6 linked regions of the Rattus norvegicus genome follow. The protein of the gene in region 1 interacts with the protein of each later gene in a pairwise test. Links are inferred from orthologs where the notes say so. Each region holds a gene or a part of one and is shown on either strand. Other genes may lie near its edges. The genes, in order: Rpia, Pcmt1, Ntaq1, Atpaf2, Stk16 and Ptpn11.

Region 1 (4,761 bases):
ATTTCATGTAGCCCAGGCTGGCTGCAAACTGATTATGTAGGCAGGAAGTCCCTGACCTCTGATCATCCACCTCTACTTCCAAAGTTCCAGGATTACAGTCATGAGTCCCTGCGTGGGCACAATCTAGTGGTTCATTAGTGGAGACAGCAGTACATCCTCCCCTAGGGACTTTAGTCATCAAGCACTGTTTTAAGAGGTGACCTAATTCATTTAATCCCCACAGTGACCCCACGAGGTGGGTACTAGTTTTGGCCCTTTTTAAAAAGGAGAAACTGAGGCATGGAGCTGTTTGATAGGGGACATACTGCTCATACTGCTAGAGCATGGCAGGGTTAAAAGTCCATCCAGGCAGTCTGTCCCAGCATCCACTCAGACACTGCACTCTGAAAAACTGCCCAGCTATGGCTTCGATTGCTCGACTGCATGGAGAGCGATGCCTTTCGGTCACCTCCTCCTGTATATCCCTCCTACATCTGACCTGCCAGACTGAAGCCTGAACACCAATTCATCTCTATCCAGCTCACCCAGCCTTCACCCAGGTAGGTAGGTCCTCAACTCCTACGATTATCCTGTGGCATAAAGTCTATGCTTACACATACAGTCTCACTTGAGCGAGTGAGCGTTCAAGTTCAGGGTCTTGGGGCTGGAGAGATGGCTCGGCGCTTAAGTGAGCACACTGATCTTGTAGAGAACCAAGTTCAATTCTGAGCACCCAAAGCAGAAGGCTCACAACTAGCTGTAACTCCATCTCCAGGAGATCAGACGCCCTCTTCTGGTCCCTATGGGCACCTGCACTTAAGTGCACATACTCACACATATAATTAAAAATAACACAAATCTTAAAACTTCAAGAGACAGAAAACCTAGAGCTCTCACCTTGATGTCGTAGTTGTTAGGCAAACCACTTAGCTTAGCTCTGGGCCCATGTGGTCCCCTGTTAACTACCTCATCTAAGTGGGAATTTAATAAAACCTTTTAGGATGCTAAGCACTGTCTAGAAGACGTGATCATGTACACAGATCAATACCATATCTAAGAAACCACCCTACCTGACAAAGCAACCCCTGTGGACTGGACTTTTGCTGTTCCTCCAGCAGAAGCAGCACTTCAGCATCTGCAGACGTGGCTTCACACAGCCTCCCCCAGGTTTACATCAGCTCTAATCTAGGACTAATTCCATGTAATACAGGCAAGGCATCTTGCCTATGATACACAACCAGTGAATGCAGGTGAACTGAGTCACCTCCTCCACAAAGGTCGAAGAGGCTGCATCAGCCTCCTGGAAAAGGGAGGGGTCTCTCCCGGGGATGGTGACCTTATTTGAAAGCAAGCACCTCTGACTGCCATCAGCTTGGAGGCTATCCCAATGCCAACAGACTATAAAATATATATACATCAGCACTATTTCACAAACCAGGGGGAGGGAGGTGACTCAAGTACAAAACCTCAGACATGGTATAAACTGAGCACATGGTCATGCTGCCTTCTGTGGCCTGAAGAGGGGGTAGTTATGAAGGGAGACACTAGGTGACATCCAGGGAACACCCAGCTTACCTGGAGTCATCTTGATAGCTGTGTTCACTTCACCCCATTTATGTACCCGATCGAACTTCCAGTCCAGGATAAAATTCCCATTATCTGTCACCACAGGCCCCTAGAAGACAATTTTCCAATGACCAAGGATGAAAACACAGGTAGGCAAAAGCAAGAAAGATGACAGCCAGACAGATGTCCTTGCTCTGTGCTTCCTAGAAGGTGGCTCCATGAAGCAGAGATGAGCAGGCACTTTGGAGTCCTACAGACTATGATTATGTCTTAATGCCATTGAATTCTCTGAAACTTGTTTCTTCAGTGGCAAAAAGGGGGACAGAGATGCAAATGGGAAGGGCTCAAGGCAGTGACATTTTCAACTTAGCAGAGTGAAAACCGAGAGTATTGCCTGACAACATGGCTGCATCTCCAAGCTTAGCACAAGCAGCAGTGCTGTAACGTAAGGCTGCCTGCCTTCTCGCAGCACACCTTCTCCATCGGCAAGTCTCATTAAAAGGATGGGCGGACAGACAGATAGGTGAGGGGACGAACAGTTTAGCTCTGAATCCAGAATTCCTCAACACCACTGGACACTAGAGAAATCAGATTGCTTAGTAACATAAATGTTGACAGTACACAGGCAGAGGTAAGTAAGTAGTAAGACTCCTCTACAGCCTGGCATGGAGCAGTTAAAACTGTACAAAGGCAAACCAGGTGTGGTGGCTTCTATGTCTTATCCCAGCACTTGGTAGGAGGCAGAAAGATCAGGAGTTCAAGGTCATAGCAAGTTCAAGGTAGCCTCTCTAAGTACTAAGATAAGGTGCTGCATAACCAGTTATCCCAGCTTCTTTCTAAAGAGAAGTCAACAAAGTATGTCAGGGCAGTTATTAATCATTTCATTTTCTCTATCTCCCAAATTTTTCTAATAGCTACACATAGCTACACATATTTCAGTTTGGGATCATTACATTTGGTTGTTTATTTAAATATGAAAGAAAAAGTTCTTTGTAACCCAGACTCAGAAGCTAAAGAGAAACATCTCCACGGGGTATCACATGTTCACACCACCACCACCCCCAGAAAGTCTACCTCCTTAGTGATGAAGTACTTGCCTAGCATTTCCTGAAGCCTTGAATCCAATGCCTAACTGGAAAAAAAGAGAGGGTAGGGCTACCTTGTACAGAAAGTTCCTGGAAAAAAACCATCTTCCTCTAGCCTTCTGTACTTGGATTGACCAATTGGAACTTCAATGGCTTTGGAGTTTAGTATAGACTGCTACTAATCCACAGGCAGAATATCTTGGGCCATCTATACTCTTTGAAAGGCAAATGCACTGTGGTTCACACCAATCAAAAGGCTAAGAATGCTACCAGAGCTAGGGCAATGGTGGGGCTTGCCTTTAATCCCAGAGGCAGGCAGCTCTCTATAAATTTGAGGCCAGCCTGGTCTAGAGCTAGTTCCAGGACAGAAATGGGGGGGGGGGGGGGAGGTAAAATTTCCCCATTTTTCTATGACCTACCTACCTGGTGTTTCCAATGTATTTGAAAAGTGTCGGGGTTGGGGATTTAGCTCAGTGGTAGAGCGCTTGCCTAGGAAGCGCAAGGCCCTGGGTTCGGTCCCCAGCTCCGAAAAAGAAAAAAAAAGAACCAAAAAGAAAAGTGTCATTTGTGACCTTTGTTTTGTCTCTGTACAAATTTAAAAGTGTTACCTCACTGGAATGCAGAATTTGGAATACCCAAATGTGTGTTCCCAGGCCACAGTTATTCCTATTTGCTCTAAAGTAAAATTATCTCTTATCCTCTTTGAGATGAGAGTTGTACTCTTGCAATGATAGCCTCAGAAAGAATAAAAGAAAAAAGAAAAATACCACACCACAAACCCTGGAAAACTTTGTCCCCTCAGAGCTTCCCAAAAGACAGTGTTTAGAGGCCATTCACAGGGCAGTCCAGACCTCAAGCAACCCCGAGCAATGTCAGGAAAGAACCACGCCCCCTACTATGGAGGAAACTGAGAGGTTAAGCGAGCACCAAAGGCTTCAGGACCTAACTGACACAGAAAGAACAAGAGCAGCACACTGAGTCAGGGTGCTCTGGCCACTTACTGCCTTGTTGACAGCCATTCGAAGTTCCACCTCACCCCCAAACTTCTGGGTCACAGCTCGACTCACTGGGACATAGGCCATTGGGATGACTTCAATAGGAATCCCCTTGTGCCACCGATCCCCAAGGTTCTTTGAATCTTTCCTGGGAAAAATATCAATGAAATTAAATAAGTTCAACATACAAAACCAAATTCAGGCTAGGGGCTACCTAGACAGCTGGAGGGGAAAGAGACTAGGACAGTTCAGGGCTGCTTTACACTAAAGAGACTTGATAGACAAAAGTGATAAAATCTGCTCTGATGGTTTGCCAGCTAACCCCCGCCGTCCTTGCAGCTGTGGTATTTCCTGAGTAATACAAATGCAGACAGCTCTTCTAACAAGTTCAGAACACTGCCTCCTCTCTCAGGCTCCCAGAAAGAGAATCAGCCCGGTCAAAGACTGAGCATAACACAGTCATGTGTGGAAAAGCCTGACCCCAGAGGAAGCAGGATGTGCTGAGTCACCACCTATGGACGGTGCTTGCCCTGCTTCCTGAGGCTCCCTGTGAAAACCTAATGAGTAACACATGCAGAGGAGCTCTGGCTACAGGGTGACACTGCTTCCTCCCCATCCCCAAACATGAAGGCCCAGCTCAATGCAAGAGTGCTGGGTGCTGTGGTGATTAGCAGAGTCACTGCCTGTCATCCTAGAGAGCAGGTAATCCTCCTACATTCCTCCACAGGCTTCCTCCTCTAACGTGGGAACCCATACACCTTCTCGGTTCAATCGAAAAACCCTGGAACAGTACCTGAAATCAGCGATCACAATGAAGCGACTGGCATAACCAGCCACAATCTTCTCCTGGGTCAGGCAGCCTCTGACAGGAAAAAAGAGTGAGATCATCTTCATTTGAGAAGTAGGATCAGATGTGGGTGTCCCAAATGTGTTCAATCCTGATACTTAAAGAGAAACTGGCTTCCATTTTTAAAGAGCCATCCTCGCTCCTATAATGCTACTTTCTAGTAAATGAATACAGAAACATTTGCCTGTGTCTGGTAGAAACCTAGAAAGTAGACAATGGCTCTATTCAGGCTAAGCACTTCCCCTCCAACAGGCATCTAAGAAGCACTGTGTGAGGGAGATGACTCTGG
Region 2 (4,761 bases), on another chromosome or scaffold:
AGGCAGACGGCCAGCTAGCAGACTAGTAAAGCTCTTCAATGTGCTCCTCTTTTGCCGTCCAATGGTAAATCACTGTCTTGTGCTGAGTTTCAGACCATGTTTCTCTTCCTTCCGATGTTACACTCTCAAGAGTTATTTACCTGCTTCTGCCTCTGAAGCAGTTTTCACTGAGCGGTGGTAGCAGGTGCCTTCGGGGTTCAGAAGCTCCCCAGGATCTTCTTGCTGACTGTCACCGTGCTTCAAAAGAAGACATGGCAGCTGGCCGACAGAACCTGAGGCACCTCTAAGCCTCAAAGGCGCCCACTGCCAAGGCTCAGCAGCTCAGCAAAACCTGCTTCAGGACAAGGAATTAAATGCGGAACTTTCTAAAGACAAACGAAAGCCAAAGCGTCCATGGGGCCAGTGAAGCAGACCATCAGTGACTCAGTTACCTATTCCTTTAAATACTGATTTTAAAAATCAATGCTAATATGCAATTTCAAAGTCAGGGATCCTCAATAAACAGCACTCAGCTACAACTCTTAAATTTTCATTGAACTTTTGTTTTTCCTTAAAATATTCCCAAACTTACTAATTTGCATAAAAAGATGCATTTTGCTACAAAAGGTGGGTTGGGATATAAAACTGGGCAACAAAATTTCCATTAATGGGGTTATAATCTATATGTGTATACTGCTCTTTTCCTAGTCATAAAATTAGAGTACATGAGAAAAATGTGACTCTTTAGAAATATAAAGCTTACCTATTGACTGTGGAGAATCCATGTAAGGGTTAGATTTTGCATAGTGGGAGCGGTCTGTAGCCAGCATCACCTCAAATACTTTATCTGTCTTGATGATTCCATTCTCTGAAATGAATGAGACAGATATTTTAAGCAGATGTGACATCAGACATATTTCAAAATTACTCTCTCTGGCTGCACTGCAGAGGTCAGAAAGCAGACAAGACCACTGCCTGCCATGATCCAGGCAACGTCAAAAAATCAACATGAATGGGCAGCCGAGGGTCACACAAGGAGCACTCAGAGGTCACGACACGACACGTGACACTGAGGTGCAGGAGAGAGTCCTGAGTTAGAAATCTATTGTGGAGGCATCGAGATGCAGCTCCCAGGCAGGGTCAAGTAAGGACTGGTGACAGGTACAAGTAGGGGCTGGAATGCCGCCCTTGAGAAGAAAATGTTTTTCTTTGTTTTAAATGTTAAAGTATGTTCTGCTGTGTCCTGTTTCTGTGGAAGCGGTTCTCACACTTTCTTGGTAATGTCAAGTTTATTTTGATAATAAGAAGAGGGGAGATTTGTTATATGAATATTTTGAGAAGAAGCCTTTGTTTAGTCGTATTTCTTTGTTTAGTCTTGCCTCAGTTGTTCCTGGTATCGTGGGAATAACGATCTTATGGTATCTTGCCAAAATGGAAATTGTGGTAATGCATATTCATATCTACATAAAGATTAATAAAGCTTGCAACTGTGTGCAGTTGCTTCTGCCTTTGCTCTACACCCTCTGTGCCCTGGTGGTTTGCGACTGTACCCAGGGCCCCCAACACACTAGACATTGACAATCTAAGTCTCCATCCACACTGGTGGTAACTGGAGTAGACAAGAACACACAGAGAAGGCAAATAAAAGCCAGTGCAAGGCAGATGCTGCATAAAGCAGAGCCTTCAGAATGAGGAGCTGGGTAGGTGGCTCAGGACTGTAAGGGAAGCAGAGGCAGGACCATTCATATGGATTGAAGGCCAGCCTGGGCTGCAGAGTGAGTCCCAAACTAGACAATGCTACATAGTAAACCCCTGGGGTAAGAAAGGCAAACAAACAGAAGAACTAACCATGGATGCAGAGGCCAGGTAAAGGCTCAGCGGACACAGTGTTATACAGTCTAAAAGAACCCAATCTTTGAGAAGAAAAATAAGGCCAATTGTATGTATATTTCATGTACAGCTAGTTATGTAATATTGTCTGTTAAAACTTCAGTGGGTATGGTGGAACATGCTTTTAATCCCAATGCTTAGGGGGCAAAGACAGGCAAATTCTTCTGCGTTCAAGGCCAGCCTGGTCTATATAGCTTGTTCACAGTAAGACTCTCATCTATTTAAAACAAAACAAAACAAAAAACTTTCAATAACTCTCATAAACCCATGCTTACAGCTACTTAATAAAGCTCTTACTTCTCTCTTAACTGTGTTCACTGGCTATGGGACATGACAACCTCTTTCCCACAAAAGGATAAACAAAACAGCCTAGTTACAGAGCTACAAGCAGTAAGATTGAATGGTCTTGACTTCCACACTTCTGGAGAGAAATAAAGTTTTCTTGCTCTTTTTGTTTTGCTCTTTAGAGACAGGGTCTCACTATTTAAGTCCAGAGAGGACTTAAACCTACCATTTTTACTCAACATCCTGAGCACTGAGGTTACAGAAACACCAGCAAGTTCAGAATAAATAAAATGTTTAAACCAAAAACATGCTTTGCTTTATTTGACTACATTATAAATAGCTATTTTAAAATGAGGTTTCAGTAAAAGCAACATGAGTAGCTTAAATATTTATGCAAACTTATGTCATTTAGTCATCAATTGTAGAACTTCCAATTTTCAAAAATTAATGTTGGCCATCCAGCTGCTCAAAAAAGACAACAAAATAAAACCCTAAATCTGAGATCAAGAAGGGGCAGGAAACAAAATAAACATGGCCTACAGCATCACCATACCAGGATAATACCAAAGAAAGAGGAAGCAAAAGACACAGATTAAACAATGATGAAATCATTCCCCCCAAAAGGAAGTACAGTGCCAAGTACTGTAGAAGACAGGTTAGTGCTCATGGGTAAGCATAGGAGAGCCTGGGGTGTTAAGTGCACAGTGTTCTTCTTCAAGGGACAGAGTGATTGAAGCAGATGAGCTTTCTAACCTTTGTGCTATCTGTGTGATCAGAGACTTTCCTGGCACCCAAAGCTCCCCAAGACCCTTGTTGTAAGCTTGTTTTCTCAGTCAGTCAAGAGATCCTATCTTTATAGACTTTACAGAGTTTCAATGCAGTCATATATATCTGACTTGTATTTCACCCAATTTTGTTTCTCAAGATTTATGTTGTACACCAGGATTGAATTAATTACTACCAGAATATTTTTCACCAAATTGTGTTCTGATTAAAAATGCCTACAATAAACAACTTTAAGTCAGACTCGGAAGTTTGAACCACCAGCAGCAACTGTTTTGAACCAACAATGCCTTTCTGCCTCCCCCCAGCTCATCTCTCTGCACCCCATTAAGGCCACAGCGAGTGCCCCTCCCTCCTCCCTCCAGAAGATACTATAACATTCAACGTACTTCTAGGGTTTGGAAGAGCACAGTGCTGGCTCCAAGAAATGCCTCATAAGTCACTGGGCCAATGGTGCCAAGACCATTCAACAATAAAAGAACACTTATTTTTGAAAGATTTACTTATTTAATGTATGTGAGTACACTGTAGCTATTCTCAGACACACCAGAAGAGGGCATCAGGTTACATTACAGATGGTTGTGAGCCACCATGTGGTTGCTGGGAAATGAACTCAGGACCTCTGGAAGAATAGTCAGTGCTCTTAACCACTGAGCCATCTCTCCAGCACAAAAAGACTCTTCATAAATGACTCTGAGACAATTAGAGAGCCACAAGCAAAGGGGCTTAGCTTTGGCCTTCCCTTATGACACATATAAAACTTAATTAAAGGCAAATATTTTAAAACTAAATACAGAGCCAAGTGAATCTGTGAGTTTAAAGTCAGCCTAGTCTACAGAGCAAGTTGAAGCCAGGGCTACAAAGAGAGACCCTGTTTCAAAAACCAACAAAACAAAACAAAATTCCATGCCTAAATATAAAAGCCATATGGTAACCTTCAAAGAAGAAAAGATGATGAGGGGTTAGAGATTGCTCGGGGGTTAACAGCACTGGGGGCTCTTGCAGAAAACCAGTTCTGTTCCCAGCACCCACATAGTTCTGATGCCTTCATCTAACCTCTGTAAGCAGAAGGCATGCACAGGGGCATCTTCATGCAGGTAAAATACTCAAAACACATAAAATAAATCTAAAAATATAAAAGAAAGCACTGGGTAAATATTCAAAACTTTAGATTTCACAATAGATTCTGAAATATCAAAACAAAAGCATCAAAACTAAAACAATAAAATAAATTGTGCTTCAAAAAAACCTCTAATCAGAAGGCTTCATAACTGATGGGAAGACCAATGATTTGGTGGGAGAAGGTATTTATAAATCTTTTATCTGCAGAGGTTTAGCCAGGTGTGATGACAGGTCTCATATGTCAAATAAAGCACTTGGGAGGCGAAGGCAGGAGGATAACAAATGCAAGGTCATCTTCTGCAGCGCAGTGAACTCGGGGCCAGCCGTGTAACATGAGTCTCAAAGAACTCTTAAGACTTAGTGCTAAAAACAGTCACTAGGGCTGGGACTCAGTAGTAGAGGGCTAGTCTAACATGCCTCAGGGTTCTGGGTTCAGTCTATAACTCTACCAAAGATAACTACCCAGGAAGTTTTTAAAAGGATGACCCAGGGACTGGAAAGACAGCTCCATGGTTAAGAGTAAATGCTACTACTGCAGAGAGCCCAAGTTTGGTTCTCAGCACCTGCATAGGGGGCCTTACAACCATCTGTAACCCCAGCAGCAGTGGGATCCAAAGCCTCTGCTGACCTCAGGCACCTATACTCATGAACATAGCCCCTCCTCCATATGACATGTTTGTAGAGAGAATCTCCTGCACTGTG
Region 3 (5,291 bases), on another chromosome or scaffold:
CACACGTACTCCCTGCTTGCTGCTTACTATAAAGTCTTGTCCTGATAAGACATTCGGGGCTCCCCCACAACCAAAACCATCCTGAGTGACAGTGGTGCATCGGGGAGACCCGAGCTAGCTTAAATTGAATAAAGACCTTGTTTGAGTTACATCAGATTGGCTCCTGTGTGATCACTAACATTACCCTGGCATAACGGAACAAGATGTAGAACTCTCAGCTACTCCAGCATCCTGCCTAGATGCTGCCATGCTTCCTGTCATGATAATAATGGACTGAACCTCTGACACTGTAAGCCAGCCCCAACTAAATGTTGTCTCTTGTGTTGACTTAGTCATGGTGTCTCTTCAAAGCAATGGTAACCCTAAGACAGCTGGAGTGGAACACCCACGTAAATAGTAACTTGAAACTGGTTCCTGTTCATTGAGGAAGGGAAGGGCTAATAGAAGGCAGATCAGTTTGCTGGAGTTGCCAAAGTGTGGGACGATGTGCAGTTGCAGGGCAGACAGGTAACCCCTAGACCATGGTGTGTGGGGGTAGGTGGGTGGGGTTGGGTGTGGTGTGGGGCAGATGAGGGGGAGTCTGAGAACAGCGGGGTTGATTCCCACAGCACCTGGGGCAAGAGTGCTATGAGGGGAGGAAAGAGGATGAAGGCCATTGTGTGATTGCTGTCCACCTACAACTGCAAGCATGCTTTCCCACGCTCTGGTGTCTGTCCAGAGCTGACCGCACTGCAGGTTAGGCTGATCACACATGATGGACTGAACTAGCTCTGGTCTGCTCGAAACTGCAGGGATTCTTGCCCTTGCAAAATCTTTCCATCCTTCTACTCAGAAAGCTTAACCTTACACTCATTTTACCAACCAAGAGAGGCTTCATGACACCCTCCCACACACCACTGAGCCTCTGTTGAATTGAATATTCAAGCTGAAGCAATAAATTGGTAACAGACACAAACACATGTTTAGTTCTTAGGATTTATGGGTTTTGGAAAGCAGCTAAACTTCACCAGTATACCACCAGCACTTTATGGGATTTGGGCCCCAGAAGGCTGAGAGTCTGGGTGGCCTATAAACCAATCTTAAGAGGTTCAGTTTTTGCAGGGACGTTCTGAGCACTTACAGCACACACAGGAAACTGGGATGTCTACAGAGAGTTCTCTGTGTCCTTCATTCACCCTGAATAAACACTTTTAGCAATTTGGTGTCTTTCCTTCTGAAAATAAATATGGTTAACACAACATGCTATCCAGACTCTTTAAATAAATTTTTTTAAAGAAAAATTCTTTTGTAGTCCAGGCTCACCTTGCACTCAAAGCAATCCTCCTGCCTCAGTCTCCTGCATGCAAGGATGCAAGGACTATCCGACACCACACCTGGTTAAAACTTTTTTCTTTAAAACACACACACACACACACACACACACACACATCCAGATTAAAAGAAATTAAAATACAATATGGTCAGATTTGGATGCACTCGCTCAATTTTAGTCTTTCCCTCTTTCTCGGTTCCTGCTCGACTTCTAAAGCTTCAGCTGTCATGCCCAAGAATCTCTTACTTTAGGGTTTCTTCTGGTTTCATACAGCTGGCAACCTTAGCTGGAGAATAGGGGTATCCGGAAACTCATACCTAACACTGCTACAACACAAGCAATCCCTCCACCTGAGGGCGACTAGGTCCACGCAGCGCAGCTCAAGAACCGTTCGGTCGGAGGCGAGAGAAGCCTCTGAGTGGATCCTACTCAGCCCCAGGCTCCACCCACCATGTAAGACCTAGCAAGAACTACACAGTTCTTGGTGTCCGAGGATTCGCATTCCCAGCCGCCACTCCAGCAGTCCCGCCCCACCCCACCTTAGGCCCCACGCCCACTCATTCTCCCAGTCCCGCCCATCCGGAACCACGCAGTCTTCGTCGTCCCGGGCTCCGCCCTACGCTGCACTGGGTCCCGCCCACCCGGCTCCCGGCTCCCGGCTCCCGGCTCCCGGCTCTTCTACCCGGAAACTGTCCTGGCAGTCTACACTCCTGTCCTCTCCGCTTGGGAGATTGGCAACAATTGTGGCTAGCGGGTTGTTTAGTTGTTCTGTGAGCCACAGTTTCGGGTCATGGAGGGGGACAGCCGCGCCGCCACGGCCTCGCAGTACCAGCCGGCCTGCCCTACGCGGGACGCATGTGTCTACAGCAGCTGCTATTGGTGAGGGAGCGCGGGCGCGGTCCCCGGGAATCTGCGCGTCTTCGCGCGCCGCCACCAATGCGTTCCTCTCCCGGTCCTGCTCCGAGCGCGGCAGGCCCACACTGCCCGGGTTTGGCGCCGGGATGAGGAGGTTGGGGAACGCATTTCTGGTCTCCATAACTGGGCGAGGGCTGTGGGGTGGAGTTGAGGCGTCTTAGTGCACAGGGACGAGGTAGCGGAGTTAGACTGGAGACCCTACGGTAACTGTTGTGGTCTGTGTTGTTTCGGGTTGAAATAGAGGTCTTTTTAATTTTAAAGACAATGGAGACACAGAGTTTGTGGTAGCCGGAAACCCAGTCCATGCAACTGGCTATCCTGATCACCGAACTGGCGTGATGATAATGGTTACATTTGCACTGTCCTTGCCATATGCCAAACATTGTTTTGGGTGCACGGTGTAAATTAACTCAGTTGAAGCTCACAGTAACCCCAAGAGGTAGGCTCTGTTGTGATCGCAGCTTTGAAGAACTCTGAGGCACAAAAGGGTGCTGCTGTTTTACACAAGACCTCAGGATTGTGAGGTTAGTGCCCTTAGGCTACCTCTGCAGCTCAAACACTGTCCACCTTGGCTTTTTGGCTCCCAGGCCTCACCTTCCTTTTGTGTAGGGACTGCTTCCCCAACCCAGAAGAAATCTCAGGATCATGTAAACATACTCCTCCTCACTCTACCAAGGATACTAAGAACTTAACATTCATTCAGCCGTGACCACTTTAACCCAAGTCCAGTTGCTTGCTCTGGTTCTCAACTGCCCAACACTGCAACCCTTTAATACAGAGCCTCATGTGGTGATCCACAGCTGTAAAAATTTCATTGCTATTTCACAACTAATTTTGCTACAGTTATGAATCATAATGTAAATATCGGATATTTAACCCCACGACCCACAGATTGTGGGTCCACAGAGAGTGGATGGTAGAGCAATGTCTTGGAGACAGGTTCTATGGTAGTTATTGACAGAACAAAGGCTGAACCATAGAATGATTGTGGTTTGCCTCTGACCACACAACTAAGTGATGGAATGAGATCTGGAGTCTACATGGTGGTTGGAAGTCTTTGCTTTTTAGCTGTTGCATTGTATATCTGCTCCACTTGGTTTCCATTGCTAGTTTTTATCTGGAGCATTTCTGTATCTTTCATTTATTCAGTAAATATTTTGTTGGGATGTGAAATGTATGTTGGTTGATTCTGTCTGTGCACTGAGGTTTTAGCAGTAAAGAATGTGGATAAATTTCCTGGCAGTGCCAAGGAGCTAGGTCCTGGTTTCTAAAAGGGGTGTTTGGGATCAGTGAAAACAAACTACTTGGGGGTTGGAGAGATAACTCAGTGGTTAAGAGCACTGACTGTTCTCTTCCAGAGGTCCTGAGTTCAATTCCTAGCAACCACATGGTAGCTCACAACCTTCTGTAATGTGATCCGATGCCCTCTTCTGGTGTGGCTGAAGATAGCTACAGTGTACTTATATAAATAAAATAAATACATACATCTTAAAAAAAAAACCCCAACAAACTACTCAAAGTCAAATTGTGGGTCCAAGCTGCTGTCCTCTGCTGAGATGGCTCTCTAGATTGGGCTTTCGTTCTCTCTCTCTCTCTCTCTCTCTCTCTCTCTCTCTCTCTGTGTGTGTGTGTGTGTGTGTGTGTGTGTGTGTGTTTTCTGCTCCAGACAACTTTCAGACCACTCTGTGTGCTCTGCTCTAGACAGCTTTTTCTTGCTATTCTGAAAACCTTCCAGTTGAGACAGCTAGCTTTCTGCTCAAGACAGCTCTCTCTGTTAATAAAAATTCTAAAAGCTCTTTGAATAGCTCATGGATTTTCTGACCAAAGTCAGAAATCCTGTTAGAAAAAATTGAAAAGTAATTCTTGGGTTTTCTGATCAAGATCAGAAAGCCAGCGGGGGAAAAATTCTAAAAGAGCTATGTTTGCTCTTCAGACAACCTTCTCTGGATAGCTGCTGGAAAACATTCCTAAACAAGCTGTGTCAACTAAATAAATCCTATGAGAAAAAATTCTAAAAGAGCTATGAAAAATTCTGAAAGAGTTGGGTTCACCCTTCTTGGATTTTCCCACCATGTTCTAAATCCTGTTAGAAAAAAATCTTGAAGAGCTGTTTTTGATCTCCAGACAGCTCAGCTCTCTAAGAACTGCTACTGCTTATTTCATGAAGACCAAAAGCCCAGTTTTTAATTTGCATATCAATTCCATTATTTATTCCAGGTTCCCTTTTGATCCCTATGAATCCTGTGACCCCAACCCCTGAATTCTTAGGAGACAGCAAGCACTTTTTGTTTCTTTTTTTTAAAAAATATTTTATTTATTTATTATATATGAGTACCCTGTAGCTGTCTTCAGACACACCAGAAGAGGGCATCAGATCCCATTACAGATGGTTGTGAACCACCATGTGGTTGCTGGGATTTGAACTCAGGACCTCGGGAAGAACAGTCGGTGCTCTTAACCACTGAGCCATCTCTCCAGCCCTCCTTTTTTTTTTTTTTTTTTTAATATTGCAAAAAGAATTCAGAGATCCGCCTGCCTTTGTAAACTTGGCTAGGTGGGACCTTGTCCTGAGATTACCGTTCCGACCACAGCTGGACCTAAATTCTCTCTGTCTGAGGCTGATCTTGAACGCAGGAATCTGCCTGCGTTTGTATCTGCCTGTATCTTTCCAACAAGCTGGCACGTAGTATAGCTGCCTCTGTTCCTTTAGACCTGTGAAACTCCTTTATACAATTCATATTGCATACTTAAATTTTTTGTGTAGTTGAGAAATTATATATATATATATATATTTTTTTTTTTTTTTTGGTTCTTTTTTTTTTCCGGAGCTGGGGACCGAACCCAGGGCCTTGCGCTTCCTAGGTAAGCGCTCTACCACTGAGCTAAATCCCCAGCCCCGAGAAATTATATATTTTTGAGCTCATGTTTTTAGGGCTCTTGTTCCACAGCCTTAAGGGTTGTCTCGAAGGTCCCAGTGTTTACCTTTTTGTTGAGACATTAGCCACACCTTCGCCTCCTGGACTCAGACTGTCTTGTCTGTCTCTGATTATCACAGAGTCATTAA
Region 4 (5,317 bases), on another chromosome or scaffold:
ACTTCCCAGTACTTGGGCATCTGAGGCTGGGAGGAAACTCTGGAGCTATGTAGATAAAAATCAGCAACACTACAGGCAGCAATGGCAACCAGCTAGACCAAGGTGTGAGGTCTGGGGAGAGGCCGCGGGGAAGGGGGGGGGGCGACGACACACACGACTGTCAGGGATAGAAAGTAGCTATAGCGCAAGGTAGGGTAAGAAGCCTGGGGCAGGAAGCACAGTGTAGCAGCAGATGTCTATGAACTGACTGACGCCGAGTTTTGGTACTGGAAGGCCTCAGGAGACAAGGTCTTAACACTAAGTGGTGCAACTGGAGATATCTGGGTGTGAGTACCTGGTCTTTGGGGAGCCTTAACCTTTGTGGGTTGTTTCGGCCAATGGAGGGAGGTTGCCCACCTCGCCCCGGTCGCCCCGAGAGCAGCGGGCTGACTGAGTTCTCCAAACTCAAAGGAGCAAGGTCCCTGGCACTTTGGATGGAGTTAGGGTCAGAGGAAAAGCTTCATTCTGGGAGAATGTGACACTGGCCGCTACTGAGTTTGGGGCAGCCAATGAAGAGTTTTTCAGGATCCGACAGGGATTGGTGGGAGGGCTGGCTGGTGTAGGGAGGACAGGACAGGACTTGGGAAGAACCGACCCAGGCTAAAGGACGGCTAGTCATGGGGGTGCTTCCGGATCCCAAGCGGGAGAGTCAAAGGCTCCAAGTGTGGGACAGTCTTCGGGGTCTGTCGGAGGCTGGCCGCTACAGGCTCTGAGTCTAGGGGTGGGTTAGGGGTAGGGTTCGAGAGTGTGACATCAGCTGGGCAGGTCCCGGTGGGAGGCGCCGGGTGCAGGAGGCCCCGGCAGTGAGGGCCTGGTCCGCGGCTGAGGGCTCGAGGAGCCCAGGGCAGGCCCGGCCCGTGAGCGCCGCGAGGAGGCCCTCGGGCCGGGCCTTGCCGCCTGGCGCTCACCTGCAGCACCACCTCTACGTCGTACGAGTTCCCCTTGCTCTTCTGGTGGCCACGGAACTTGGAGCCGCTGTAGAGCAAGCTGGTGGCCACGCCGGGCTGCTGGGTGTTGATGGGCGGCGGCGGGATGAGTGAAGCCGCGGATGTGGCTGAGGCACCCGCCGGCGGGGGACACTCGGTGCGGACCGGCATCGCGGGGTCCCCCGGAGCCAGGGCTGGGGGAGGGGGAAGGAACCGCCGCCGCCGCGCGGGAGCCGAAGCTGCGGGGAGGGCGGACCCGGGCGCGCACGCGCGGGGGAGGGGCTGGGGAACCACCCGCCCGCTGCCGGCTGACCGAGCGCTCGTGTCGCCACCTGGACCCCGAGACCTGCAAGCAGGGCCTCCCAGTCCTGAGCTGGGCTCCCCTTCCCACTTGCCCTCGCGGGCTCACACATACACACACACACACGCACACATGCACACACACACGCGCACACACTCACTCATACACACACGCGCGCACACACACATACACACACACACACACACACTCGCGCACACACTCACACACATACACACACACACACACACACACAAACACACACACACTCTACTGCTTCCAATTGGCGCGGACCCGCCGGAGAGGCGGGAGCAAGCTCACGCGGCGCTTCCGCCCATTGGCAGACAGAGAAAGCACGTGGTGCGGTGCGCGAATGGCCCTCTGGGACTTGTAGTTTTCTTCCCGTAGCGCGGCATGGAGGGGGCGGGGCGAGCACGCTTGTGATGCTGATTGACGGGGGCGGGGGCGGTACGCAGGGGGCGCGTGGCTGTGACGGCGTGCCGTAGGTGTCATGACGAAGATGGCGGCGTGCTGAGGAGGCTGAGGGCTTTGAACCCTTGGTGAGAGGTTTCCGTACGGAACCAGCGAGGCGTTTGGGGGACTCTCTTCGCTCTATTCCTGTACTGTTTTCACGTATGGGTCCACCCAAACCCTTGGGCATGATGTGGCGAATCTACCCCCGGCTGAGGGACCGGTGGCGCGGTCTCTTGGACCGGCCTCTCGGTGACCCCACCGTTTCATTGTGGCCGGGGCCAGCTCTGAGGCCTCCAGCCCGGGCCTACGTCCCGCCAACAGGTGAGGCCCGGACTTCTGTTACTTTTTGTTCAGGAGCCAAGTCGGGCTCACCTGGCGGAAGGTTTCCGACGTGCAGTGCGGGGTGACTGAGGCAGGGTTCAGGCCCATGAGAATATTCAGAGTAATAGAACTCTGTTTCAGTTTGAAAAATGACATCCAAACCAGTGCGGGAGTGACTTTAGGGGACACAGCGTTTCCAGGGTAGGAGATATTTGGCTGAGGCTTCTCTCAGTTTCCTTTCTTTTTCTTCGCCTTTTGCTTGTTTCATTTTTCAAGACAGGGTTTCTCAGTGTAGCCCTGGTTGCCCTGGAACTCACTCTATAGATCAGGCTGGCCTCGAACTCTGAGATCCTCCTACCTCTAGTTCCGGAGTACTGGAATTACAGGCGTGCACCTGGTTCAATTTTTTCCTTTTAAAGGGAAACAGGAGTTCGTTGATTTCAGAAAGGAAAATCTAGGCTTTCAATCAGGACTTCCAAGGTCACAGAGCAGACTGGTTGAAGTTGTGGAGGCAAAGATTAGCTTGACTGCTTTTTGTCTCCAGGACCCAGCCAACACAAGACTTGGCACAGAGCAGGCTGGCTTTAAGTCTAACACCCTCACACACTTCCTTAAGGGTTTGCAGGCCCTCTGTCCTAGTGCAGTGCCACGACCTCTGCATTCTCTGCAGCCTTCTCTATAGTGACGCTTTATACCAGGCTTCTTTGACCTACTAAGGACTGTAATCCTGAAAGAAGGTTATCTCATTGCTTCTGGAGTGAGATTTTACCAGTGAGGTTCACTTTGGTGAATGAAAAGTAATGATGGCCTCCCTCCCTTCGTTGGGTTACATGTTTTGTGTTGAGGGCACGTGGTCTCACCTGAATGGTACGCAACATCAGATGCAGGACTCATTATGCTCACTAAACAATAGTTTGCAATACACTGATGTGGGAAGTACGAAGGACTTGAGAGATCACAAGGATGAGTGTGTACAGGGTGATTGAAAGGGCATTCAAACTGGGGCTTGATAGATGAGTAAGAGGTTGCTGGGGGGGTTGGGGATTTAGCTCAGTGGTAGAGCACTTGCCTAGCAAGCGCAAGGCCCTGGGTTCGGTCCCCAGCTCCGAAAAAAAAGAAAAGGAAAAAAAAAAAAAAGAGTTTGCTGGGGGAGGAAAAGGGTGTAGCATGTCCAGAGGTGATGACTGGGTGTTAGAGATCTTGCTGCAACACTGCCCTCATTAGGCAACAATTCCATAGGCAGTTTGGCATTGGCAGAAGAGTACAAACCTTGGGTCTCTTGTTGGCTAAACTTCTGAGGTACTGTGGTCTTGGGCAGGTATGATGTTGTTTTCTTTGGTGATCTGAAGCATGAGATTGCTTTTAAGGATTCTTTAGGCTGTAAATTCCATAATTTTTTGTTTTACTTAGTATGTATATGTATATATGCCCTTGGCATGTGCATGGAGGTCAGAGGACAACTAGCAGGGGTTGGCTGTGGCTTTCAGGGATTGAACTGTGGATATTGGGTTTTGTGGTCAGTGTCTTTACATGGTGAGCCATTTCCATGGTCTATAACCCATAATCTTATATAAGTGGAAGAAGAGTGGATGCAGCAGGGAGCTGATTTTTACTTATCAGGACATAAACGAAGGCCTAAAAATGGGCTAGGAAGAAGCTTAGTGGTGTCACACACATGTATCAGCTGCTTGGGAGTCTGAGATAGGATCACTTGGGGTCATGGGGGAGGGGGAGGAGAACAGGGCTTGACTTCCACATATCTCATTGTGCCTCACTCATACATTCCTATTTTCTTTCACATTTGACTACCTACTATGTGCTAGATAACGCTAAGAGCCAACTGGTAAGTCTGTATACAAAAGAAAAGATGGCAGATCAAGCACTTCCATGTTGGAAAACAAAAAGTGTCTACTCGTTTAAATTAACCCTTTGCCTATTTAGTGACCTCCCGAATGTCTTTGTTTATGCCTTGCCTCCCTAGGATATGTTCTGCTCTCCAAGTCCTCACCAGGTGTGAGATGTTTCTGTGTATCTCTGAAGCATATAAATTATTAAGTCCTTCTTGATGAAGACTCTAGTTGTCAAGGTCTCTGAGGGACAGCCACACCATGGAAGGTTGTGTGGAGAGGAGGGACATTCGAAGGGCTCACTGCAGCATTACAGGAGGAGGTAGTGTGGTGCAGAGACCTTTGTGAGGCTGTGGCCACCCTCCTGTTTTCTGCCCAGAGGGAGATGTAGTTTGGAGAAGCAGCATTTGGGGCAAATTCCCAAAGAAATAAAAGCTTGAAGTCCTGTACAAATTGCCCCTCTGTCCAAGGCAGCTTCTCCAAGTTTCTGCCACTTTAGAGGCATTGCCTGCTTTGCCATCCTCATAGGCGTGTCAGGGACCAGACTTCTACCTGCTTTTGAAATAAAGTTTTATTGGAACACAGCCACATACTCATACATATTGTCTGATTTTGTTATATTGGCCAGAACAACCTAGAGTATTGACCTCTGCTCCAGATGAAAAGCAGTTGGGAAAATAGTGCACTGATGTATTTGGCTGCAAGATTTTATTACATTTGTTTGTGTCCATATGTATTTTGGCATACATGTGCTACTGTGTACATGTGGAGATCAGAGAACAGCTTCTGAGAGTGCTGCTCTCTACCTTTACATGGGTTTGGAGATTAAACTTGGGGTCAGACTTGCACATATGCACCTTTAACCACTGAGCCATCTCTCTGGCCCTGGCAGAATTTTAAACACCTTTATTAAGATCTAGTTGACTTGAGGGGCTGGAGAGATGGCCCAGGGATTAAGAACATGTGTTGCTTTTGCAGAGGAATGAGTTCAGTTCCCAGGACCCACATAGTAACTCACAGCCATTTGTAACTCCAGTTCCAGGGGATCAAATACCCTCTTCTGACCTCTGTGGGTACTAAGTACATACACAGCACACATACATACAGTTGGGCAAAGCACTCACAGATGAGATAAAATTTTAAAAATCTAATACATAAAATTCACTTAGTATACAGTACATTTCTTAGTGTATATTCAGTAATTTGAATGACCATCACAATCAGTTTAAGAACATTTTTATCAAGGTAAAAGGCAGTCAGTAGGGAGTAGAGTGCTGGCTCAGTGCTTAAGAGCACTGCTCTTCCCAAGGACCTGAGTTCGGTTCCCAGCACCTACATGCAGCTCACAACCATCCATAACTTAAATCCCAGGGGATCAAATGCCTTCTGGCCTTGGGCACAAGTTGTGCACA
Region 5 (5,391 bases), on another chromosome or scaffold:
AAGAGGTTCTGGGCCGCCCTTTCTCACCCTTGCCTGAGGGGTCCTGGAGCTCAAACCCTTTACAAACCCAGTCAGTTTCCTGGGGAACCCCCCCCCCCCAATTTTAAAGAAGAGTAAACCTCGCTTTCACAAAGCTCTCGCGAGCACTTCTTACAATTGCACAGCGTTGAGGCCGCTCAATTTCATCTTGAGAAGTCGATCGGCCCAAAGAACCCGCGGTACGCGAAAGTAGTGCAGGCTGCCAGAAATATAGCGGAACGGGACCCCGTCCAGGAGGAATCTGTCATGTTGCCGATCCACTACGAAGGAGCGAGCTTCTGCCTGGAAGGGCAAAAGTCTGGCTCGAGTGGTCGGGAGTAAGGGTCAGTGTCTGCCAAGTGCTTAAGAGATAAAACTGGCCTTGTCAGTAGTTAGCTATTTCTCCACTGTTTTCTGTTTTTCCCTCCCCACACCCAGACAGGCAGTCTGACCCTCTCGGTTTACCTGGGACAGCAGCAGCAGAATCACAAGCCGCAGGAGCAGGGAAGGCAGGTCGGGTGGCATCTTCGGACCTTACAAAGTTCTTCTATTCAGTGAGGGCTTTCCCACCCGTCACGTGTCGGATTCCTGGGAGGGAACCTCATCAAGCAAAGGGGCGGAGACCACCTCAAGTTTTCAGGCCAGTTAACCCGGACTCTGCCCGTAGCCTTCCACCATCCACTAGTTTGTAAAATCCTCTATATATTACTTCTCGAAGTGCTGAACCCGAATCAACTCCATTAGCATCACCTGGGAGCTAGTTAGAAACGCAGAATCTCGGGTCCTACCCCAGACCTGTAGAATTAAAGTCTGTACTTTAACAAGCTTGCTCTTCTACGCTGAACTCTCGGAGGGCGGGAACGGCGTCTTATGTCCTCATGACTAGCAAAGGATCTGGCACAAATCAGGCTAAATCTATATGAATGGTAGCAGTAGGGTCAAAACGGATTCAGAAACAGTGGAAACCAGAAAATCTTCATGGTGATCATGACTATGAAAAGGGGAAATGGGTTACAAGGAGCCTGTTCTGGTCACTCTTATTTTTAAGGCGCACCCCTTTCCAATATATACCTGTCTGTCTAGGCAGGAGATGTGACGAAAACTGCATAAGCTTAGAAGTCTAATTTTCCATTTCTTCTGCCTTCACACCAGTGGATTTCAGGGTCAGGGTAGAAAATACTATAATTTCTGTTTATTAACACACACTGAAGGCTATGTTTCAAAAACTGTACAAAAGACATCTCATTTAGTTTTGAAACAGCCCATGAAATGATTTTCATTCTCATCTTACACACGAGGAAAATGAAGGTTGGAAATATTACGTGACTGTCCAAAGTCACAACTAGTTCAGTAGAGCTGGGATTGAACTAGTCACTTTGGCCTCATAATTCACAACACTTTGCTGTAGGTACTGACTTACAGCTGGGAAACATGCGGATCTGAAAGACTAATTCCTGGAGGTGACAAAGCTAGGAGACTGTTAGGACCAGATTTAGAAACTGGCATCTAGTTCAAGGGCACACTCTGACACTGGCCAGGTAGTGGAACACAGGCCAGACCCCTAAAAGTATTAAGGGGTCAGACCTCCAGGGATCTAAGGGTCAGCACCCGCCTTTCTCTGGTCCCTCCTCAAAGCTAGATTGTAATAAGTCACTTTCTAACTCCAGCGCGCGGGAGCTATAAGGCCTCCTACCTCCGACATTGAGAGACGGAGGTCCTAGGGGACTCGGGCAGAGCCCTGCTTTGCTCCCCTTTGGTACAAGTCCCTGCGTCTTGACCCTTACTGAAGGGCAAGTGGGAACCCTCGGCGAGATATAGAAACCAACCCACCCCAGGTCTAGCCCGGCCCCGGCCTCTCACTTCCGGGTCCCCACATCCTCTTGCCGCCTCTTGTTGCTAGGATACAGCAGGCCGTTACTTCGACGCGGACTGATGATGTCACCGTAGCTTCCGGTCCCTGGCCCTTTGCACAGGCAGGAGCCAGGTCACTGAAGAGTTTGTATTGGCAGATCCTGTGCTCGGTCCTCAGCGACGGAGGGTGGACTCGGCCAGAGGTGGGCTCGAGTCCCGCACCTACTGCGCCACCCCATGCCTCACGGGTGTGAGAGCTGGACCTGGCCGAAGGTGGGCCGGGGTTGAAGGAAGCGGCCTGGTAAGACACAGCGTGGCCTGAGGCTTTGGGGTGCCAGAACTCAGCCTTCTTAGAGCTGGAGTCACCAGGGACTGTTTTCTTTAGATGTGAATCTGGGTTCTCGGAGGTGAACCTGAGCTCTACTGGTTGGTATCTCAGTGGCTGTCTGGATTGTTCTTTACCCGCGACCTGCTGTTTTCATTCCAGCATGATCCGCCGGGACCCCAACCCATCGTCTGGAAGAGCCCACTCTCCCTGGAAGAAAGACCATCCTTGAAGAGGATGACTGAGACGCTATGGGCCATGCACTGTGTGTCTGTTCCCGGGGAACTGTCATCATTGACAATAAGCGTTACCTCTTCGTCCAGAAATTGGGGGAGGGGTGAGTGTATGGAAGTCACTTAGCTAGACCCAGGTCATTTAGGGGCAGTAATAGGGACACAAGAGTATTAGCCTTAGATTCTACCTCACCTGACCGGTTAGCTGAATAGGTCAAGAATTGTATTCTAGGCCCTGGCCTCCTGAATCTACTTTGTGTGACCTTAAGTAAACTGGTTTCTTCTGCTTAAACGGAGATGATTATAATGTCTCACTGAGGGACTGGTGAGAAAACTAAGTTAGATAGTATATTCTTTAAAACATGTCACCCAGTGCCTGGCTCATGAGCACTTACTAAATTTTGATTGTTACTTGAAATTAATTGAGCATCTTATGCTCAGACCAAAGGGTCTCAGTGATTTCTGTGCCCCTGCTCTTGAAGATGGCAGACCTTAACGTCTTGAAACTATATGAGAACTACATCGTGGGAGGGTTTCTACTCCATGTGAGAGGCACCCTTCCCTAAGGGAATTTCTCGGGGTCTAAGCCATATGGGAGACGACCGTGGTCCTTCATCGACCCCTTTGGCCCACAGTGGGTTCAGCTACGTGGACCTAGTGGAGGGCTTACATGATGGACACTTCTACGCCCTGAAGCGAATCCTGTGTCATGAGCAGCAGGACCAGGAAGAGGCCCAACGAGAGGCAGACATGCATCGCCTCTTCCAGCATCCAAACATCCTTCGCCTCATGGCTTACTCTTTGAAAGAACGAGGTGCTAAGCATGAAGCCTGGCTGCTGCTACCCTTCTTCAAGGTCAGAAAAGCTTGTGGTTATAGAGGGGATTGTAGCATTGTACAACCCCACCAAGGGCTCTGTGGGCAGTCAAATATAAATACCCTAGGAACACACACCCTGGTTTTGGCCACTTTATATTTGGGGCTCAGAGAACCATAGGATCCCCTATGAACTTGACATCACACATAGCCCCAAATGATCAGTGAGAGTGTATGTGGTAAAAGGGTTGACAGACTTCAACACAAAATAGAATCCTGGGAAATGGAAGCTTCAGAATGTCTCAACACGGAAAACTTGTGTTGTAGAGAGGTACACTGTGGAATGAGATAGAAAGGCTGAAGGACCAAGGCAACTTCCTGACTGAAGACCAAATCCTTCCGTTGTTGCTGGGTATCTGCAGAGGCCTTGAGGCCATTCATGCCAAAGGTTATGCACACAGGTCAGTGGGCGGGCCCTACACTTATTGAAGCCAGGGGAAAGAGCAATGCCAAGAGAAGTGGGGTTTCTCTGCACTCTCTTCATGGTGCTCCCTGGGATACCAGCCTACCTACCCAGGATGCCTTTGGGTCATTTTCACTTCCCTCCAGGGACCTGAAGCCCACCAATATTTTGCTTGGTGATGAGGGGCAGCCGGTTTTAATGGACTTGGGTTCTATGAATCAAGCATGCATCCAAGTGGAGGGATCTCGCCAGGCCCTAGCTCTACAGGTAAGAGAGTCCCCAGGTTTCTTTGGCCATCTCCTCCCCATCCCCAGACCATTCTGATGCATGCACCAATTTGGTCACATGATATGGCTTGTGCTCCACTTTTGAGCTCTGGGGACACTGTTCCAGGACTGGGCAGCCCAGCGGTGCACCATCTCCTACCGGGCACCTGAACTTTTTTCTGTGCAAAGCCACTGTGTCATCGATGAGCGGACTGATGTCTGGGTGAGGAGCATGTGGGTGGGAACCTGGGTGGAGAGGGGTGTGGCTTTGTAACTATTTTGGATTAAAGGGAAGGAGACTTGGTTTCTGTTGCATGGAACCCCAGAGCCACAGTATGTCTCCATACCCGTCCACTTCCTTCCTGGGAACCATCACTGACACTGTTCTCAGGAAGCTGTGCAATCACTGTGGCTGAACTGCTAGAGGCACTGGCTAAGCAGGGGCACACAGACCTCCTTCCTGCTAACATGGTTCCTTGGAGCGAGGTTGGCATATTTTTAGCTTACATGGTCTCCTTTTACCATAGCAATAAGGAGAGAGATGCCATTTTTCACCTTCCAGGAACTAACCAAATTATGCTCAGTCCCTAGGCTGTGTGCTTTATGCAATGATGTTTGGGGAAGGCCCTTATGATATGGTGTTCCAGAAAGGTGACAGTGTGGCCCTTGCTGTGCAGAATGACCTCAGCATCCCACAAAGCCCCAGGTGAGGAGTAAGAGGACACTGAGCATTGTAGACTTGGCCTAGAGCCAGCCGAGTTGGAATCCTAGCAGTTCTAGGTGTCCTCCAGTCCTCTGCCTTCCCCATCCCACAGGCATTCTTCAGCATTGCGACAGCTGTTGGCCTCTATGATGACTGTGGACCCCCAGCAACGCCCTCACATCCCTGTCCTCCTCAGTCAATTGGAGGCATTGCAGCCACCAGCTCCTGGCCAGCACACCACCCAAATCTGATCAAATCAGTGAGCATATTGGGAAGATGACCTTGAATCAGCTCTCATGCCTCATTGGAACTTCTGATCTACACAAGATGGGTCTCACCATTAGGGGCAAGGATGGTGGGTCCTTGTATATTCTGCTCTTATCCCAATACCTGGGCAAGGAGCCTAGGGTGAGTTGGGGGTGGGGGGGATGAAACAGAAAATATGGCTCAAAGCTGGGCTGCTGGGCGCACATCATGTTCTGCCTCCAGATCTGGCAGCAGGAGAATACATAAAAAGTAGAATAAAGTGAAAACAGTCTGTGTGTATTTTAGGTCAATGTGTCTAGAGGGAAAGAATGAACTCTGGTTGCCATTTCCAAGGGTATCTCCTGACAGGAAGTACTGGTGTGGTGTCTTGAGGCAGAGTTACTTGAGTTCTGCCTGCTTGACAGCAGGCAGGTCTTTAGCTTGCCTTGGTCAGAACCAGAGCCTCCAGCT
Region 6 (4,761 bases), on another chromosome or scaffold:
AGAATTTGAGTCCCACAATGTAGAAAATACAGAGCACAATTTAGCTGCTTCACAATTCAAAACCAATTCCATGACAATAGCACTGTCGACAACGCAGAGCAGTTTCTCCTTAGCTGAGGAAAGGAGGTGCCAATTAGGCACGTGCTCTTTCAAATGGTTCCAAACTTCGCTTCTCAAAAGGCAGTCAGTCAACCCCGGCGAGCTTCTGAACACGGGTCCTGGAAACTTTCTCGTCTATTCTTGACATTTTAGGGAAGGGGTGAAAGTTCACATCTGAGAAAGAAACAAGTTACAACTTTTAGAGAGCACACATCTAAAAGCATGGGAAGCTTTACACCTTCTTTGGGAGATGCTGGGCACTGAAACTAGCATGTCACACACACACACGCATGTGCACACACACACACACATGCACACGCATGCTGAATAAATGCTTTCTGTTGAGCTACTCTGTCACTGACAGACATTTCCATGTGTGATACCATTCTGTGTGTTTCTAACTTACCACAAAAGACAGGGAGGCATCTCACAGAGAAATGACTAAATCAAAAAAGCCAGGGGAGCCTGGGACCCCACGTCCTCAGAGGCATCCCTGCTGTTGATGCCAAGAGGTCACAAACAACAGGGCATGTACCACCCAAGTCCACTCCATCCCTGTCAACTGCTGTGCCAGCTCCATCCCATGCAGTTAACTGATCTGACTTAATGAACTGTAAACCAAACCCGGCCTGGAGAGGGGCAAGGCAAAGAGAAAGGCTGGTTTGCACGACTCAATCACAGGACGTCTTGCTCTGGCACGAACAAGTCGCCTGCCTGTCTGGACCACTGTGGCCGGCCCCAGGGAGAGACTGGTGTCATACCTGCGCGCTGCCACCCGAAGCTCATCTGAAACTCCTCTGCTGCTGCATGAGGCCCACGTTCTCATAGACTCGAGCGCTGTCCTCCCGCATTCTGTAGACACACAAGAAGGAAGACACTTACCTGACTGCCATGTCCAGCTAGGCCAAGACTGACCCCTTCTCACCCAGGAGCTGGCTCTCAAAATGGACATCAGACACAGACTATTATGAATTTGGAAAATCAGCAGAGGCCCTGAGTCCTGTCTTCCAGAGTGTGAATGGAGGGAAGGCAGCTTGGAGGGCAGTGAAGGAGTAGGTGCACAAAAGACAGGAACTGTGGCCATTTCCACAGAGGCATCACAAGTGAGGGCTCCAGTCACCCTTAGAGCCTTGGATGAAGAACTAAAAGCACCCAAAGGCCTAGTCTCCTTCTGTAAAGAAGGCTATTAGCCAGCTGTGTGGGACAAAAGGATAGGATCTCTGAGCAGCCCTGGGGCCTAGGATCTCAGGTGTGCATCCCTCATGGGACAGCACGAAGGCAGATTGCCTGTCAGTCACTGGTGAGCTTTGTAGGAAGGGTGCTCACCCAGTAGTGTGAGTAGCGTGAGGTGCTGCTCCCCAGCAGGTTACTATAGCTATCGATTTAAGACACCAGTATCACCAGTCAGCCTGCTGGGGCAGAACAGAGCAGGAGGAGGGAAGGTGACTCAGGAGAGAACACCCTTCCCACATGATTTCATTTCTGTGTTTAACAGAGAGAGAATGTAAACACAGGCCTCTATCTGCTATCTATCAGAGCTGTGTAGAGCCAATATTAAAGTCAGCGGGGCTTTAAAAGCCCACAGCAGAAGCAAACAAGTGGGATTCCAGGGGAAAGTAAAAGTAAATGTTAGGGCAGAGAGCAACCTTGTGGTACAGACAGCACAGCTGCTAGCCACGTGACTGGCTAACAAATACTGCCCTGTGTGTTTTACTTTAACCCAAGAGCTTGCAAGGCCCTTCTGGAAAGAACCAACGTGTGATGACTCTACTGGCCAGAGAGTCCCTCTGTGTGCTATGCCTTGGGGTTTTCCTTTCCCAGGTTGCATGAGGGGTGGAGACATGTAAGTCTGGGCTCTTACAGACATCAAGCACTGGGGTGACAGGAGGAGCAGAGTGAAGGAAAGAGGTCACAGTAGACTTCAATCCTAACCTGGCCAAACACCCCTGGAAACTGTCACTTAAAATGCAGGGACCTGGGTTTCCTGGAATGTGAATGTGGTTTCTACTGGAGTCCTGCTTCTCCCGGGAGTCTTCAGTAGCCGGCTACAAAGCACCAGCTCAGAGGACTGGGGTGTTTTACCCCAAAGTGGCCTAAGGACACTGACCTCAAGAGCTATAAGCAGACTAACAGACACAAGGATGACGTGTAGACAGGCGCAGCCACGCTGCTGGTTCAATACTGTACCACCCGAGCTCTCCGAGCCACCATACTGGTGAGTTCTCACAGTGCTGTGTCAGTGAAAAACCAGTGAGCACCAGGAGCTAAGTTCAGTCCCTCTTGGGGTCTGACTGACAGAGCCTGGGCCCTTTCTGCTTCTGGGTGTGTCTCTAGTTCAACTCACACTCTGGAAATGTCAGTTTCCTGTCAAAGATGCACAAACCATTAAGATGGCATCATGTTGAATGCCTCTGGAACAAAACCTTCCCTGAGATCTGAGTGCTTCCAGGAGAGGTATTCATTCTCCAAGCTGCAAGGTCAGCAGGCAGCGTGCTCTTACGGCTCTGGCTGCAGTCTGGGGCAAGCTGCCCTGTGGGCTGAAGCAATGAGCTTGAAGCAGCGCCACGCAGCAGCCGCTCCTTAAAAACAATCTGTCTTCAGCAGCACTGCACCCCCTTCTGGCACTGCGTGGTGTGTGGGAAGAGCTTTGCGCCGTGTCCTGTCCCTAAGCCGCCTGCTGCTTCCTTTGCAGGATGCCCATTCGTAATGGCCCGCCATCTCCCACTAGGATGGCTGCCCCTGTGCAACTGTCACCTTGCTGGGTTTTGAGGGGTCTGTCTGTCTGTCTGTCTGTCTGTCTGTCGGAAAGAAGAACTCCTTTACAAGAGCAAAGCTAGGCCTGTAGGCTCTGGCTTTCTGACCTTTGGTTTAAAAACTCTTATTGGTAGATCATAGTCCTGTCCACGCATAAATATAGAACTTACTTATTCTTACTCAGAGTCAGAACACACTGTAAGGACAGCATTGCCTCTGAAATAATGCTAACTGCAAAAGGAAAACGCGATTTTCCCAGAGAACCCTTCCTAGCATGCTTAGGGCCCCACAGGGTCCTGGAGGGCCCAGCACAGGCCTCCTGGTTAGGGGCCTGGAAACCCTGCTGAGACATCGTCCACAGTCCCTAGAGATCCCCTGCGCCTGACCGCCCCATGTACCATCAGTGGGTAGCAAGCAAGCATGAGAGAGGAATACAGACAGCAAGCTTTGACCAGAGCTATAACGCCAACATCAATACTTACTCCGCACAGGGTGGCGTTGGGGTGCAAGGTGGCAGGGGACTCTGATCGCCACTTGTCTGGTCCACCAGGGAATACTTAATATTGGTATATTCATGTCCTTTCCTTTTGCTTTTCTGAAAGTGGGAAAAAATACAAGTAAGAAGGACTGTGGACTCGACTTTTAGAAAAACACAGGAATAGAAGGCTATTTCATCAAAGGAAACGAGAGAGAGACAGACAGATGGACAGACTAGACTCTTATGAACACTAACATGTTGACCAAACTGTCAGGAGCTCCCGGCCGGCCGGCCCAGCACCTGCAGGAGGAATGCGCTGTGAACACATCCCTAGGAGACCCAGAAGCCGGAGGGATGCAGGAACTGCCCACTGATGCAGACCAGAGGCCTTCCTCCTACTGCACGAGCTCTAATCACCGTGTGCAGGGGTGGAAGGCACAATAATGCACTTTATTTATTTAGCATATTGGCGATGGCACCCAGAGCCCTTGTACCATGTTGGGCATGTGTTGAGCCAGTGAGACACTCCCCCAACCCTCCAACCTACCTCCTATATACCTCAGAAAAGACCTCCGCATCCGAAGATGAAATGGTGGGGCAAGGAAACCAGCAGAGCAAATCAACAGGAAAGTAATCTCATCCCACCATGTGCTTGCGTGTGTGAGAGGTGTGAGCGCTCACACATGCCACACCCGTGTAGAGAGCAGAGAAGAGCCCTGTCGAGTCCGCTCTCCATGCACTGAATATCCGTTGACAATGCATTTGTACTGAGCACGCGCACACTCACCCTAAGTTCAAGGCCTGCCCGGCTACATGAAGACCACAGGAGGAGTGAGTAGGTTCTCTACAAAGCCAAGCCCTTTATACATGGGACAGGAGAGCCTACAGGCTTCATGTCTAAGACTAAGTCCCCTTGGATGCGGAGAGATGGACACACTATGCAAGGTGGCAAGGACCACTGAGCACCATTCATGGATGTGCTCCCAGGCCAAAGGCAACAAATCCGATCAAAGTGGGACTCTTCAGTGGCCACTCTCTCTTCACTCTGGATGCCTTCCATTCTGGAAGATGAAGCAGCGAGGAGAGGGCACTGCACATCCATGATCACAGCACCCAGGAGGAGGCAGGAGGAACAGGATTCTAACCTCATCTCTGGGCTAGAGATAAAACAGCAGTTAAGAGCTCATGCTGCTCTTACAGAGGACCAGGGTTCAAGTCCCAGCACCTACATATGATAGCTCACACCTGGCCAGCTTTAACCCCAGCTAGAGGAGATCTGACACCTCTCCCTTCACAGGCACCTGTGTTTGTGTGCACATAGACACACACAGACACATAATTATAAATAAGATAAATATTATAGAAGAAAGAGACCTTGTTTTAAATCCCATCTCTGAGACTGAAACTGGAAGGGCAGAAAGGTGGGGAGG

What was found.
Region 2: the proteins of Rpia (region 1) and Pcmt1 interact in binary tests that used the Homo sapiens proteins (3 or more experiments, as listed by UniProt). The two-hybrid records come from large-scale screens. The link is inferred for Rattus norvegicus from reciprocal best matches to the Homo sapiens genes RPIA and PCMT1.
Region 3: the proteins of Rpia (region 1) and Ntaq1 interact in binary tests that used the Homo sapiens proteins (3 or more experiments, as listed by UniProt). The two-hybrid records come from large-scale screens. The link is inferred for Rattus norvegicus from reciprocal best matches to the Homo sapiens genes RPIA and NTAQ1.
Region 4: the proteins of Rpia (region 1) and Atpaf2 interact in binary tests that used the Homo sapiens proteins (3 or more experiments, as listed by UniProt). The two-hybrid records come from large-scale screens. The link is inferred for Rattus norvegicus from reciprocal best matches to the Homo sapiens genes RPIA and ATPAF2.
Region 5: the proteins of Rpia (region 1) and Stk16 interact in binary tests that used the Homo sapiens proteins (3 or more experiments, as listed by UniProt). The two-hybrid records come from large-scale screens. The link is inferred for Rattus norvegicus from reciprocal best matches to the Homo sapiens genes RPIA and STK16.
Region 6: the proteins of Rpia (region 1) and Ptpn11 interact in binary tests that used the Homo sapiens proteins (3 or more experiments, as listed by UniProt). The two-hybrid records come from large-scale screens. The link is inferred for Rattus norvegicus from reciprocal best matches to the Homo sapiens genes RPIA and PTPN11.

Annotation. Positions count from the first base shown.
Region 1 is NC_086022.1:104,286,385-104,291,145, forward strand, and holds part of Rpia (ribose-5-phosphate isomerase), read right to left. Parts: intron 4,488-4,761; coding exon 4,419-4,487; intron 3,774-4,418; coding exon 3,632-3,773; intron 1,655-3,631; coding exon 1,555-1,654; intron 1-1,554. UniProt on the Homo sapiens protein: Catalyzes the reversible conversion of ribose-5-phosphate to ribulose 5-phosphate and participates in the first step of the non-oxidative branch of the pentose phosphate pathway.
Region 2 is NC_086019.1:3,947,339-3,952,099, forward strand, and holds part of Pcmt1 (protein-L-isoaspartate(D-aspartate) O-methyltransferase), read right to left. Parts: intron 848-4,761; coding exon 743-847; intron 308-742; exon of another isoform or gene 141-307; intron 1-140. UniProt on the Homo sapiens protein: Initiates the repair of damaged proteins by catalyzing methyl esterification of L-isoaspartyl and D-aspartyl residues produced by spontaneous isomerization and racemization of L-aspartyl and L-asparaginyl residues in aging peptides and proteins.
Region 3 is NC_086025.1:91,571,897-91,577,187, forward strand, and holds the start of Ntaq1 (protein N-terminal glutamine amidohydrolase), read left to right. Parts: upstream 1-1,962; 5' UTR 1,963-2,102; coding exon 2,103-2,191; intron 2,192-4,090; exon of another isoform or gene 4,091-4,152; intron 4,153-5,291. UniProt on the Homo sapiens protein: Mediates the side-chain deamidation of N-terminal glutamine residues to glutamate, an important step in N-end rule pathway of protein degradation.
Region 4 is NC_086028.1:45,716,955-45,722,271, reverse strand, and holds the start of Atpaf2 (ATP synthase mitochondrial F1 complex assembly factor 2), read left to right. Parts: upstream 1-1,764; 5' UTR 1,765-1,898; coding exon 1,899-2,058; intron 2,059-5,317. Other genes in the region: Gid4 (glucose-induced degradation protein 4 homolog), read right to left, coding at 948-1,136. UniProt on the Homo sapiens protein: Plays a role in the assembly of the F1 component of the mitochondrial ATP synthase (ATPase).
Region 5 is NC_086027.1:84,152,310-84,157,700, forward strand, and holds Stk16 (serine/threonine-protein kinase 16), read left to right. Parts: upstream 1-1,975; 5' UTR 1,976-2,170; intron 2,171-2,356; 5' UTR 2,357-2,445; coding exon 2,446-2,531; intron 2,532-3,062; coding exon 3,063-3,282; intron 3,283-3,569; coding exon 3,570-3,703; intron 3,704-3,851; coding exon 3,852-3,972; intron 3,973-4,098; coding exon 4,099-4,194; intron 4,195-4,555; coding exon 4,556-4,677; intron 4,678-4,786; coding exon 4,787-4,925; 3' UTR 4,926-5,207; downstream 5,208-5,391. Other genes in the region: Glb1l (beta-galactosidase-1-like protein precursor), read right to left, coding at 155-321, 484-543. UniProt on the Homo sapiens protein: Membrane-associated protein kinase that phosphorylates on serine and threonine residues. In vitro substrates include DRG1, ENO1 and EIF4EBP1. Also autophosphorylates. May be involved in secretory vesicle trafficking or intracellular signaling.
Region 6 is NC_086030.1:41,077,543-41,082,303, reverse strand, and holds part of Ptpn11 (tyrosine-protein phosphatase non-receptor type 11), read right to left. Parts: intron 3,449-4,761; coding exon 3,336-3,448; intron 952-3,335; coding exon 882-951; 3' UTR 861-881; intron 274-860; 3' UTR 1-273. UniProt on the Homo sapiens protein: Acts downstream of various receptor and cytoplasmic protein tyrosine kinases to participate in the signal transduction from the cell surface to the nucleus. Positively regulates MAPK signal transduction pathway. Dephosphorylates GAB1, ARHGAP35 and EGFR.